Tamandua tetradactyla: one gene and its partner. The protein of the gene in region 1 interacts with the protein of each later gene in a biochemical or structural test. Links are inferred from orthologs where the notes say so. Each region holds a gene or a part of one and is shown in the gene's direction. Other genes may lie near its edges.

The links.
Region 2: the proteins of ATF4 (region 1) and CREBZF form a complex in vitro, tested with the Homo sapiens proteins (2 studies listed by IntAct, with this or other methods). The link is inferred for Tamandua tetradactyla from reciprocal best matches to the Homo sapiens genes ATF4 and CREBZF.

Annotation. Positions count from the first base shown.
Region 1 is NC_135333.1:32,072,209-32,078,766, forward strand, and holds ATF4 (cyclic AMP-dependent transcription factor ATF-4), read left to right. Parts: upstream 1-3,955; 5' UTR 3,956-4,161; intron 4,162-4,725; 5' UTR 4,726-4,817; coding exon 4,818-5,043; intron 5,044-5,142; coding exon 5,143-5,966; 3' UTR 5,967-6,043; downstream 6,044-6,558. UniProt on the Homo sapiens protein: Transcription factor that binds the cAMP response element (CRE) (consensus: 5'-GTGACGT[AC][AG]-3') and displays two biological functions, as regulator of metabolic and redox processes under normal cellular conditions, and as master transcription factor during integrated stress response (ISR).
Region 2 is NC_135334.1:58,791,295-58,798,159, forward strand, and holds the start of CREBZF (CREB/ATF bZIP transcription factor), read left to right. Parts: upstream 1-3,847; 5' UTR 3,848-4,145; coding exon 4,146-5,206; exon of another isoform or gene 5,207-5,413; coding exon 5,414-5,429; 3' UTR 5,430-6,865.

The DNA of each region.
Region 1 (6,558 bases):
CCAAATCAAAGCCAAATACACAGGGGAAATGAGTTTACTGCCTCTGTTAAAGAACTTCTAAGAGCATCTCTTAACTATGTCACAAAACCAAAAACCATCATTTTGCCATAATACCAGTAAGAACCTCTTAGAAGTCCTCAGAATTGGAACCAGCAGTGGGAATTCTCAGCGTAGGTCCTAGAGAGTTTGCTGCCTCTGACTAGGCAAGCCACTCTCTTGGCTGCCATATTTATCATAAAATGTGGAAAATAATTAAGTGATTTGAGATTTTTTGAATGGAAGGGGATAACATTCTAATTTGTAGAATTAGAATGCAGATGCAGTGGATTTCCCCTCCACCCTGCCTTTTTATTCCATAACTCCCACCTTTTCCTGAAGTTATAGTATCTGTTCCTACTCTGTTTGGAGAAGATTGGGTTTTTTTGCACCATTTAGGTTAGCAAACCATATACTCAGCCTAATGGTTAAAAAATAATACACCCATTATCCTGAAAACCCTAATAATCTCTAAAGGTTTGGTTTTTTTTTTTTTTGCTTTGCTTTTCTGTCACCCCTTCCTAAAATAAGAATTCAGACAGCAGTATTCTTCTTTATATGATCGGTTGTGACTTAAAAAAAAAAAAGTTAAAGCTCATGTTTGGAAAAGTTGCACTGAAGAGGCCTACAGTGTCTTGGACTTGCCCCTGCCAGTCTAAATGAGATGATTTTGCTCCTTTGTATTCCACTCAAGGTAAGAGCTCAAAATTTTTCGAGGAATCAGATTCAGGATCAGGGCCTCTCCAAGAGAGACTGTGTAAGTAGGGATCACTGCATGTGTCAGGAGCCCTCTGCTAAGTTATTCATTACTTGGGTCTCTGACCCTGGCTGTGAACTTCTGCTCTTGGAGGATTAGAGTTCTGCCCTTCCTACCTAAAGTTAAAGGTCAAGAAGAAGAGTAAGAGGCACTGAGGTTAGTGCTGACCCTGCACCAGGCTGTGAGGCTGTAGCCCTTTGAGATACTGGTGACTAAGTGACCAAAATACCAGACATGTGGGTTTTGGGGTTAACAGCCTACAGGTTATTATCTACCTTTTCATCTTGATCACCTTGTAATCTTTAAATTCTTGGTCTCAGAGGTTGAATCCACAACTTGCCTTGTCACATGGCTGTCCTTCAGTGGCAGTTGATGTGGAATCAGTCGTCAGTCTGTCCTGTCTTGGCTAGGACAATATAGGAGCATCTTAACCCAGAGACCTAGAGAATTGCTATTTTTTTTCCTCCTTGAGGGAGGAAATAAAGCTGGGGAACATGATGTCCTTCCACAGAGTGGGGAGAAGAAAATAAAAATCTCCAACAACTTTGACTTTTGTGCGTGGTATGAGACATTTTCCTATGGGAATGGTACTGGGTCTCCATTTTCAGCTTGGAGAACCTTTGAAGTATTTAATCTTGGTTACCAGAATAAAATGGAAGGGACAAGCTGCCACAGGAGTCATTCTTCCATTACCTCTTCAGTATCAAAACTGGGGCAGTGTTAAATACTGTTCTTAATTCTCAACTATCTGCATGGTCATCTGTCAGCACTGCTGTAGCAAAAAGGCCATGCCCCGTGGGCCCCCAGGACACCTTGTAAAAGACTAGAACACAAGACAATTTAATATTTTGTACCCAGGACACTAGACAACTTATGTATGTTCCAAAACTTGTGATTCCCTAGGAGGAAGGAAAATGCCACACTTCTATCTCAGCATACAGTATGCCTTGTGTGTATTTGATGTTTCATAATTTCTGGCTTCATTTGCCAGTAAAGATTAGCAGAGTTCCCTCAGGAAGGAGGATGATGTAAAAGATTTTGTGTGTGTGTGTATGGGTGGGGGGGAGGGGGGGAGATTGGGAAGTCCGGGTCAGAAAATCTGAGTCATAATAGTAATAATAGCAACCTTTTATTGGGCATTTACCATGTACCAAACACTGCTGAGTGCTTTCCATATATGATCTCATTTCATCCTTAGAAGTATACCTCCATTAGCCCCATTTTACAGATGCGGAAGCAGGATCAAAGAAGTGAGTCACTTAGCCAAAATCTCCCAGCTAATAAATGGTGAGGCCAGGATTCTTTCAGGTTTGGCCCCCCAAATCTGTCTTCTAGTCCCTATCCTATGCTGCCTCTAGTGGAAACTATTGACTGGGCAACACGCCTCATCCCATTAGGCCTGTTTGCCATTGTGAAAGAACTGGGCTAGAGTGAATGCAGTCAACAAATGATCGGTAGTTCTCTAGGACAGTACTTCCCAAGTTCCTCAACATCACAGCCCTCAAAACAATGATCCTTGATTGGCTCATTGAGATGGGGGAGGAAACGAATCTTTTGCTGCCTCCTGCCCCTCCCCGGGCCCTGCAGCGAGGTTTCACACTGCAGGTTCCAGAAACGCCAAACACCAGTAAGTGTATGTGGGTCCTGGAGCTTTTCACAGGGCCATTAGTGATGTGTTGGGAAGTTGGCTATGCCTGGGAATTAGTTGAAAGTAATTCAAGAGTCTACAAGATGCCAGTCGAATAAAATCCTTTGTTAGGAGAATTTAATCTATAAAATCCAAAAAAAGTTCCCTTATGAAAAACTGCATGCCTTAATAGGAAACTTACTTTAGCAGAATGGATAACGTAAAAGTGCAAGTTAGGCTATAGGATTGTGCATCTTATTCGACTTTACTGGAGGTGGCCTTTGAGAGAGGCAGGCATGGATCAGGTGACCTACCAAGATGAGGACCCAAAATGAGTGTCCATCCAGTTTCCCCGTTCAACTTTTAAGAGATCTCATGGGGTGAATACACACATTAAGTGGCTTCCCTTTTTTGCTTAGTTTTGTCTTAAGCCCTCCCTCGTTGGCCTAAAGAGAATTCACAAGGAGCGGCTCTCTGGCCGGCCAGGAGAACCTGCACAGCAAGAAAAAGCTGGGTTTTCTTGTTTTTACTGAAGTCGGTGGATTATTCAGCATGCCCACGTTCTACTCAACTTCTCTAACTTCGTGTTAGTGCCCCAAAGCATTTTTAGTATAAGTTTGCCGTTCACTTTTTCCTATATTAATACACTTGACTCCCAAGCCTTCTCGGGGGCAATTTTTTATTAGCTATTTAATGGTGTCCCTGATAGACTGAGTCGGCACCCGCTACGGGATCGCTTTGTAAAACGAAGTAATTTCCGGGCCGGGTAACTTCCGAGGGCCGTTCCAGGTTTGAACTCTGCCTAATCTGTACAGAAGAAGGAGCACAAGACGGGCGGAGGGGGTGGGGGAATCCGGGGACAGAAAGCTCGACTCAGACATGGACCCGATTGCCGCTTCGGCGCCTCGCGGAAGTCGGCAGGAAGGAACTTCGTACCGCACTGGGATCGAGCTGCCCAAGGCAGGAAATCTGCGCGGTCTGGCCAGAATTCCGAGAAAAGTAAGTGGGTAGCGCAGCTGAGCGGAGGGAAACATGCTGGCCGCCCCGCCCCTTCCCGCGCATATCAGACGCTCCTAAACGAGTAATCCGCCCACCTAGGACTTGAGCCAATCGAAGTAGGAGATATATATGACTCACCATGCCTGGGCCAATCAACTCGACGCGCGCCCTAGCTACCGTCTCGCGCGACAACCAGGTGACATCGGCCTTCCTACGAAGGGCTTTTCTCTCCCCTCCTACCGAATTTACACTGTGTTGGCGGATCCTTCCGCGCTCACCGGCGGCGGGGGAGGGGGAAGGGTGGACTCTTTGATCTTAGAGGCCTCGTAAAGGAGTGCGCTTTTTCTCATTTCGTGAGGTCTTTAAAATAACTCATTTTCTCATCCTAGTTATACCTCAGACATCAAGGCCGTGGGCTGGAACCGATAAGTGTGTCACACAGGCGAAAACGAGGGGCTGGTAATGACGGTCACGTGACGGCGGCGGAAGGATGCGTTCTGTGATGTGACTGTCGAGGTAAAGTCTATAAAGGACCCACGCTGCGCGCGCCTCCGCCATTTCGCCTCTGTCCATATATGTTGACATCAGCTAGTGCCCCGGGCTTCCCCACCTCCCCTCCCGCAGGGTCCGAAGCCGCCATGGCGTATTAGAGGCAGCAGTGCCTGCGGCAGCATTGGCTTTTGCAGCAGCGGCAGCAGCACCAGGCTCTGCAGCGGCAACCCCCAGCGGCTTAAGCCATGGCGTAAGTACGGGGCCCGGCTGTTCGGGCTCCTCTCGTCCCTGGTTCGGAGGGACTTGGACGTGGCCTTACAGCCAGGGCAGCGTCGCGGAGGGGGAAGCGGTTTTACGAGCGCGCCCGAGGCGCGTGGTCTCTATTTAGTGTCCCCGAGACGCCCCTCAGTCGCGACAGCAGCGCACGGGTTCGAGGGCAGACGCTCTTCGGCTTGCCGCCCCCTCAGCGCGTCGAGGGTCCCACCCTGTGTTCCGCGAAACGTGGCGGGGGCCAAGATGGCGGCGGGCAGGGCGGGAGCGGGGCGGGGCCCCGGCCGCTCTGGCCGTATTTGGACGTGCGGCTGGAGCGCCTTCTCTCGGTGGCCGGTGAGGGAATAGCCGAGTCTCCGTGGGCCTCCATTTTGTGTTTCCTAACACCGGAAGCGGGAAAGGTTGACCCTGGAACGCCATGGCCCCCATTCTAAGAGGACAGCTCAGTGATTTTCCAATTTGGCCACCGTTCCTCACGAATAGAAAGATGAAATTCTCAGTCAAGGTCGTCTCCAATGGTGCTTTGTTTCGGATTCCTACCCAGGCTTTTCACGGCATTCAGCAGCAGCATTGCTGTAACCGACAAAGACACCTACGAATTAAGCACATTCCCCGAGTTCAGCAAAACCCGGCAACATGACCGAGAGGAGCTTCCTGAGCAGCGAGGTGTTGGCGGGGCACTTGATGTCCCCCTTCGACCAGTCGGGTTTGGGGGCTGAAGAAAGCCTGGGTCTCTTAGATGACTACCTGGAGGTGGCCAAGCACTTCAAACCGCATGGGTTCTCCGGCGACAAGGCTAAGACGGGCTCCTCCGAGTGGCTGGCTGTGGATGGGTTGGTCAGTGGCCCAGACATCGGCAAGGGTGAGTAGAAGTCCTTTATCTGTCAGTGTGGGTCCACTTATCAGGGGTTCTGGTGATAGAGGATGGCTGTCTTGCAATTCTTACTCTCATCTTTTGCAGAGGATGCCTTCTCCGGGACAGATTGGATGGTGGAGAAAATGGATCTGAAGGAGTTTGATTTTGACGCCCTCTTCAGTTTAGGTGACCTAGAAACCATGCCCGAAGAGCTTTTGGCCACATTGGATGACACCTGTGATCTCTTTGACCCCCTAGTCCAGGATAAGGAGCCCTCCCAGACAGAGAACCCAATTGGCCATCTCTCAGAAAGTTTACCAAAAACTAACCATGTTGCCCCCTTCACGTTCCTCCAACCTTTTTCCCATTCTCTTGGGGCCCTGTCATCCACTCCAGATCATTCCTTTAGTTTAGAACTAGGCAGTGAGGTGGACATCTCTGAAGGAGAGAGGAAAGTGGACTCTGTTTATGTTACAGTGATCCCTCAGTGCATAAAGGAGGAGGATTCCCCCTCAGATAACGATAGTGGCATTTGTATGAGCCCTGAGCCCTATCTGGCCTCTCCCAAGCATAGCCCCTCTACCTCCAGGGGCTCTCCAAATGGGAGCCTGCCATCTCCAGGTACTCTTTGTGGCTCAACCCGCCCCAAACCTTATGACCCTCCTGGGGAGAAAGTGGTAGCAGCAAAAGTAAAGGGAGAGAAATTGGACAAGAAGTTGAAAAAAATGGAGCAGAACAAGACAGCAGCCACTAGGTACCGCCAGAAAAAGAGGGCAGAGCAGGAGGCCCTCACTGGAGAGTGTAAAGAGCTGGAAAAGAAGAATGAGGCTCTGAAAGAGAGGGCGGATTCCTTGGCAAAGGAGATCCAGTATCTGAAGGATCTGATAGAAGAGGTCCGCAAGGCAAGAGGGAAGAAAAGGGTCCCCTAGGTTTTGTAGTCCAGAGTGTGTTTGCTTGTACATAGGCTTGCTATGAATGTGTTGTAATAAATTATTTTGTAGTGAAAGTATCTGATTTCTTTGCCTCTGAATAAATCTTGGAACTACATTTCAAAATTAGAACAATTGTAGGTTTGCCAAAAAATGCAGAAAGCAGAATTCCCATATACCTACCATACTCTTTCCCCAGCAATGTTTAACCTTGTGTAAGATATTTCAGATTGTACTAAGATCCATCCGTTAAAGCGGTTTAGGGTTGGATGATACTAAAGTTTTCTTAACCAAAAATCTACCACTTTATCCAGTCAGGCAATTCAGTGATGTCACCATCCATTGTTAAAGCTTCCCTGGAGATGGCTTTTTAACCTACCTTGTGTTACTAGGGGTGTTTTCCTATTGGTGTGATTTGATATGGCCTGGTGGTATAAACAGGTGGCTTGCATTGGGCCGCCAGTTATGAGTAGAAGTGTGTACTCAGAACTTTGGCAGTTGGCTGGGTGTTCTTCCAGGAACGAGGGTGGGGTATCCCTTGAATGGTAAGCTACTGCTAGTCCTGTAGGATGACTGGGAGGAGCATCCTTCG
Region 2 (6,865 bases), on another chromosome or scaffold:
CCATTGTTTAAGCCACCCATTGCATGTATTTGCTTTGGCAGCCAGGAAACTGAAACAATCAGTGATATGATTGTCTACTAGGAAAATATGAATGAATAAACTGAAAAAAAAATCTATTAAGAAAATTCAGTGAGATAGTCACCTAAACATTTAACAAAAAGATCAATAGTTTTCTTGTATAGCAACAATAACCACTTAGAAAATACAAATGAAGAAATAATATATCCCAGCAGTAAAAATTTGTGTAAAATACCTGGTAAAAATATATTAATATGTTTAATGCAATTTCCACAAAAATTCCAGGATTTTTTGAACTGGGAAAATTTTCTAATGTTATCTAGAAGTTATCTAAATATTCAAGTATAGCAAGAAGATTCTCAGAAAATAAAACTACCAAGGAGAGACTTGCCCCATGAAATATTAAAGTTTATTATAAACTGCAATAAAAATGGAGTGGTTTTCGTTCCAGGATGGTTAGATTGATCAGTGAAAAAGATCAGAAATAGATCCAAGTGATATAAGAACTTCACATGTAGCATACATGTTGGGGAATCAGGGAGACATGTATGGACTGTTCAATAAATTGCATTGTTGCAGATAACCTTATGAAAAGATAAATTCTTACCACACATTTATACCAGAATCGATCTCAAATGGAAAAAGGTTTAAATGAAATAGCCACTCAGGTTGTTAGAAATTCTTAGCAAAATATAAATAGAAGTAATTTAAAAGCTGCTAAAAGCAGGTAATATTAGTTATTTTGGGCTAGGAGGGCCTTTAGAAGCTTAGCACCAAAGCCAAAACTGTGAATATAATTTAATAGACCAACTATTTAAAAATTATAGCAAAGCAAGGAAATAAGCAGCCTCCCCCATCCCCCTCAAAGAAATGGTCAACTAGGAAAAAAGTAGTTGGAACTTATATAACCGACAAAGGAGTGTTTTCCTTATAAAGCAAAGAGCTCAAATAAATCCAGGAGGAAAATACAAGACAAACCCTTTTGCCCAGTTTAAAAGAAAAATGGGCTAAGGAGGCAAAAAGCTTAGTCACATTAGAAGAGTAGTCATGAGAAAAAATATTCAACCGTTCAGTAATCAAAGAACTGCAAACAGAAGGTACCATTTTTGATTTTTGGATTAGCACATATTAAAAACAATGCATTCAGTATCATTGAGTGGGTAGGAAACAAAAAAACAGGCATATACCATTGCTGAGAGTATAAACTGATAAGTCTTTGTTAGGTAATAAGGGTCTATGTATGCAAATCGCACCCAGGAATTCTACCTCTAAGATTTTACCTTAAAGATAAATGAACAAGATGTTTGCTCAACATTATAGTGTTGCTTATAATAGTATAAACTTCAATACAATCTTAGTGTTATCAATAAGGAATTAGGTTGAATAAAAGTTTGAAAGTCCATGCAATCGAATTTTAGACAGCAATTAAAAATAAGCATGTGGATCTACATTTGGTTGTGTGAAAGATGTCCACAATATGTTCATGCCAAAACAGTAGCATTCAAAGAAAAAGCTCTTGACAATATACACCAAAATTTTAATAGTGGTTATTTTTGGGGTACTTAGATTGTGGGTAATATCTTTTTACTTGTTTATACATGTCTGTATCTTTTTACTTATTAAAAAACAATATACGCCAAAATTTTAATAATGGTGATTTTTGGGGTACTTAGGTTGTGGGTAATATCTTTTTACTTGTTTATACATGTCTGTATCTTTTTACTTATTAAAAATAACAGCTGTGGAGAAGAAGACAGGGAGAGGAATAAGAAGAAAAGGAAGAACAGAGAAAGAGGAAGAGGAGTCATCTTCTGGGAGGTTTTCTTTTGCTTGGATTTCTTTTTTTTTCCTCTGAGGATACATTGTAAAAATTTCCCTTCCTTTCCATTTTCTGCTTTTCTCTTAATTTAATTGGAGAGGTTCCAAATCCATGTATATTCAAACCAAAATTTTGTAATTTAAGAAAAAAATATAATAAATCAATTCAATAGTGAAATTTTGCCGAAGGAGAAAATGCAGTCAGATGGGATTACCAGTCACACAGAACACTTGAAGAACTCAGGGCAAGCCAGAGTGTGTATAACCTTGAATTGTGTGCTGTTGTACTTCAACAACACCTTTCCTAAAGAGGTTAAGAAGGACATGGAGTCTCTTTATTACCGTAGGTCGTACTTATTTTTGCCCTTTTCAGTATTGTTTTCATTCAATTGAGCTTTCATGTTAGGCATTCAACACAAACTGGAGACCTTCATTTTTCATTCATTCAGCAAATATTTGTTGAAATCTATACTTATGCCAAGCACTGTTCTGGATATTTTGGACACATCAGTTACCTTGCTTTTCTGGAACTTGCTTTCTAGCCCTCTAAGAAACAGCCATACAAAGCCTGTTAAATACCACTGAATATACTTATTCAGTAGCCCATGCAAAAGTTTTTATAAAACCTGAGAACTAGAAATATGGTTTTCCCCAGGGAATTCGTATATACTTTAATCATGAGCAAACAAACGGAAGTTTGATTCTCATCTTTTCTATGGACACCAAGAAACTTAGTCTATTTTACAGCCCACCTTGAATAATGGTGTAAGACTTTATGTCCATACAATTCAATACTAACTTTCTCCCCTTTCTGAGCCCCTAGATTTCTATTTCATCTGTATTTTCATTGGCCTTGTTTTTCAAACGTTGTATTCTTTTGTTTCATTGTATTCTAATATATTTGTAAACAGCTTCCAATCTTAATTTTCTTGTGGGGCTGGAGGAACAAGGAATTTTGGGGGCTACTTAGATTGTGGGTAATATCTTTTTATTTGTTTATACATGTCTGTATCTTTTTACTTATTTATACATGTCTGCATTGTTTGTGTTATTTGCAATGATCTTTATACCCATGATGAAATAATCAGACAAATCCATGACGTGAGCATACTTCAAGACAACTGAACTGGTCTTTTTTGAAAAGTTAATATTAAAAGAAAAAAAATGGATGGGATGGTTTCACTTTAAGAAACGAGAAAAACAAACAAACAAACAAACAAACAAACAAACAAAACCCTCCACAACAACTAAATGCATTGAGTGATTCTGGTAAAAAAAAAAAAAAAAAACAAAGTATAAAAGCTATTTAATTTAAAGACAACTGAGGAAGTTTGATTACAGTCTGGGTATTAGATAATATTTGGAAATGATTAATTTTCTCAGGAGTTGTTAATAGTATGATAATGAAGGAGCCTGTCAGTTTTAGAGATGCATGCTGAGGTATTTAGGAGTGAGGTGTCTCGTCTGCAATTTAAGAATGATTTAAAAAACTTACGTTTACACATATCTAAATAAAGCAATATTAACAGCTTTTTGAATTGTTGCATCTGGGCATTTGGTACTATTGTTGAATCAGGGTGGTTACTATACTAATCTTTCAAATTTTCTCTATGGTAATTTTCATAATAAAAACTTGGAAAAGTTACATATTAATGATTATTTACCTAATTTTCTGTATTACTCTATAAGTGTTTGAGTGAAACGATCTTATAAAGGAAGTGGGAAAGCAGCAACTCAGGAGGGATCTGGTGATCAATTTTAAATTCCAGAGAAATACAGAATAACTGTTTAAAATTATAAAAACATACGGTAATCTAGAAGATCAGTTTTTGAGAATGGCTTCACTGGGAGTGGAAGCTGTGGTACAGAGGACTAAGAAATAAGTGCAGCGAGGGTAGACCATTACTAAAATAAATCTGGGGTAGGTATGTTATTTTTGCCGCTGTTACTATGACATCATTGGAGACCTAGAATTACTCCCGCTCCAGAGCATTCTGAATTCTCGCGATGTTAGACCTTGCAGGAGCGCGAAACGCGATAGGAGGGGCTAGATCAGAGCGACGGACTTCCGGCCAGGCCGTCGTCTGAGCGGTGCGGCCGAGTCATCGCTGGGCTTTGCCTCATCGTTCTCCCATCCCTACCCCCCGCCCTGCGCGGGGGGTCGACCAGCCAAGAGAGGCGGGAGGCCCCTTGGACCTTCCCCTACACTTCCCTCCAGCCAACGCCCCGGCTCCCCGCGCTGGGGTCCGTGGGGCCCGCGAGGCTCGGTCTGAGGGGCCGAGGCCTACGTGGGCCCACCGCCGGGCCCCATGAGGCATAGCCTGACCAAGCTACTGGCGGCCTCGGGCAGAGACTCTCCGACCCGCAGCGAGAGTCCAGCGCCAGGCTCGGCCTGTTCGCTGCCCCCAGACGTGATCCGGACGGTGGCGGCGGCGGCTGCGGAGGAGACGGCGGCGGCCGGATCTCCCGGCCGCAAACAGCCGCGCGGCGACGAGGGCGAGTTGGAGGCCGGGAGGGGGAGCCGCGGCGGCGTGGCCGTGCGCGCGCCCTCTCCTGAGGCAATGGAGGAGGAGGCTATCGCTAGTGTCCCGGGGGAGGAGCCGGAGGACATGGACTTTCTGTCCGGGCTGGAACTGGCGGATCTGCTGGACCCCCGGCAACCGGACTGGCACCTGGAACCCGGGCTCAGCTCGCCCGGTCCGCTCTCCTCGTCCGGCGGCGGCTCGGATAGCGGCGGCCTTTGGAGAGGGGACGACGATGACGAAGCTGCGGCTGCCGAGATGCAGCGCTTTTCAGACCTGCTGCAGAGGCTGTTAAACGGTATCGGGGGCTGCAGCAGCGGCACTGACAGTGGCAGTAGCGAAAAGAGGCGGAGAAAATCCCCGGGAGGAGGCAGTGGCAGCGGCAACGACAACAACCAGGCGGCGACAAAGAGTCCTCGGAAGGCGGCGGCGGCCGCTGCCCGTCTTAATCGGCTGAAGAAGAAGGAGTATGTAATGGGGCTGGAGAGTCGGGTCCGGGGTCTAGCAGCCGAGAACCAGGAGCTGCGGGCCGAGAATCGGGAGCTGGGCAAACGCGTGCAAGCACTGCAGGAGGAGAGTCGCTATCTACGTGCTGTCTTAGCCAACGAGACCGGATTGGCTCGCTTGCTGAGCCGGCTGAGCGGCGTGGGACTGCGGCTGACCACCTCTCTCTTCAGAGACTCGCCTGCCGGTGACCATGACTACGCTCTGCCTGTGGGAAAGCAGCAGCAGGACCTGCTGGAAGAGGACGATTCAGCGGGAGGAGTGTGTCTTCATGTGGACAAGGATAAGGTGTCGGTGGAGTTCTGCTCGGCGTGCGCCCGGAAGGCGTCGTCTTCTCTTAAAATGTAGGGTCAAGTAATCTGCTCTTTATCCACGTTTACCCCTTTCAACTCCCTTACACCATGTAAAACACCTTAGTGGGACATCTTCACTGGACACATGTCAGAGGAGGAAAAAGTAATATTGAATCGTTAATGTTTAGCTAAAAGCATGAATGTGACACTGTAACCAACTCCTAATGATAACATGTGACTATTAAATCTCTCTGACAGTTTCTTTTTTAGGTGATTTCCTTCCTGCCAGGCTCCGTTGTAGGGGTTACAGAACAGTGGTTCCCGCCTCACAACCTGGTAAGGATCCATCTCTTCACGTAACGCTCATGCTCTGCTGCTTAGTCTACTTTAATGGGCAACATCTCAATTGTGTGTGTGTGTTTTTTTTGTTTTGTTTTTTCTTTTTTGGAAAGTGGGAGGGGAAATCGAATTTGGGCCCTGTCCACCCTGGAAACAGACTTGTGCTGGTCAAATAATGTGTTTAAGATGCTTCTTATGGTTGAAATAGCTGCTAATGTGTCCCCTTGTTCAGACTTGCGTGTACCTAGCTCTTCTGTCCCCAGTGTGGACATGGCCTTGGATGACATCGGTTCCAACTGTACACTGAAACCTGCTTATAGAGATACAGTTTGGACACAGTGAAACAGGTGAAGTTGAATGGAAGTTCCGAGTTGTACAAGATGCAAATTGGAATTTCAATTTATAGCAACTTTTGAGAGGTTGGCAATAAGTATTAGGGGCATGAACAATGTGATATTTTGTAGAGATGACAAATCTCTTTATTCAGTTAGTTTTCAGTCTAAGATACAGAGTGCTCAGATTAGCAGATTTTAATATCTCACCATTAGAGAAGTTGAAAATTAATTTGCATATTACATTCTTGTGTTAGTTGATTGGAGGAAGAATAAGAACGTTTAATGAAATGTTTCTTTGAGGACCAGCATAGTGATTACCTTATCACTGAGTATGAATAAATTGTTGAACATCTTTATTTTTGCTGTATTAAAATTTTAGGTTAAATTTATGTATGTATGATTAGATATTGAAGGTTGTGAAATGTGAATGAAAAAGTGTAAAGTGAGGCTTCACAAAGAATCTTATTTTCGTTATTTCAAAGGCATTTGGCCGCTTTAAAAATTTTTTAATTAAATGGATCTGACCACTTAAATGGCATGATTTTTCCAAAAATGGGACATATTCTTTTGAAGTACTCTTATTAAGCTGTTGTCCAGTTGTGTGAATTGATATAGTAGTGTCTTTCAGTGTAAGAAGCATTAAGAAATTCTTTGTGAAACATCACTGTTTTATAAAGTATATACGTATTTAGCATCCTTGTTTTTCTTTGTGCTAAAGTGGATACAGCTGTTGGGGCAGAAGAGACGGGACCAGCTCCTGGCCACATTTCCTGCTTTATTTTAAAAGGTAGTATAAGAAATGAGGAGAAGAGGTAATATCAGGGCTTCTGCTGTCTTTTATTTTTGAAATGTTCATAATTAAAAGTATTTTCCAGCAGTCCAAAGATGTAAGTTATCTTTAAAATGTTTTATTTTGTTGTTACTTGGTTATGGAAATGGAATCCATGTTCTTGCACAACTGTAAATGTTTTGTTGCTAGATATTAAGATTTGAGCTCTAAATTGGTCTCTGGTTTCCAGTGCATCACAGCATATTT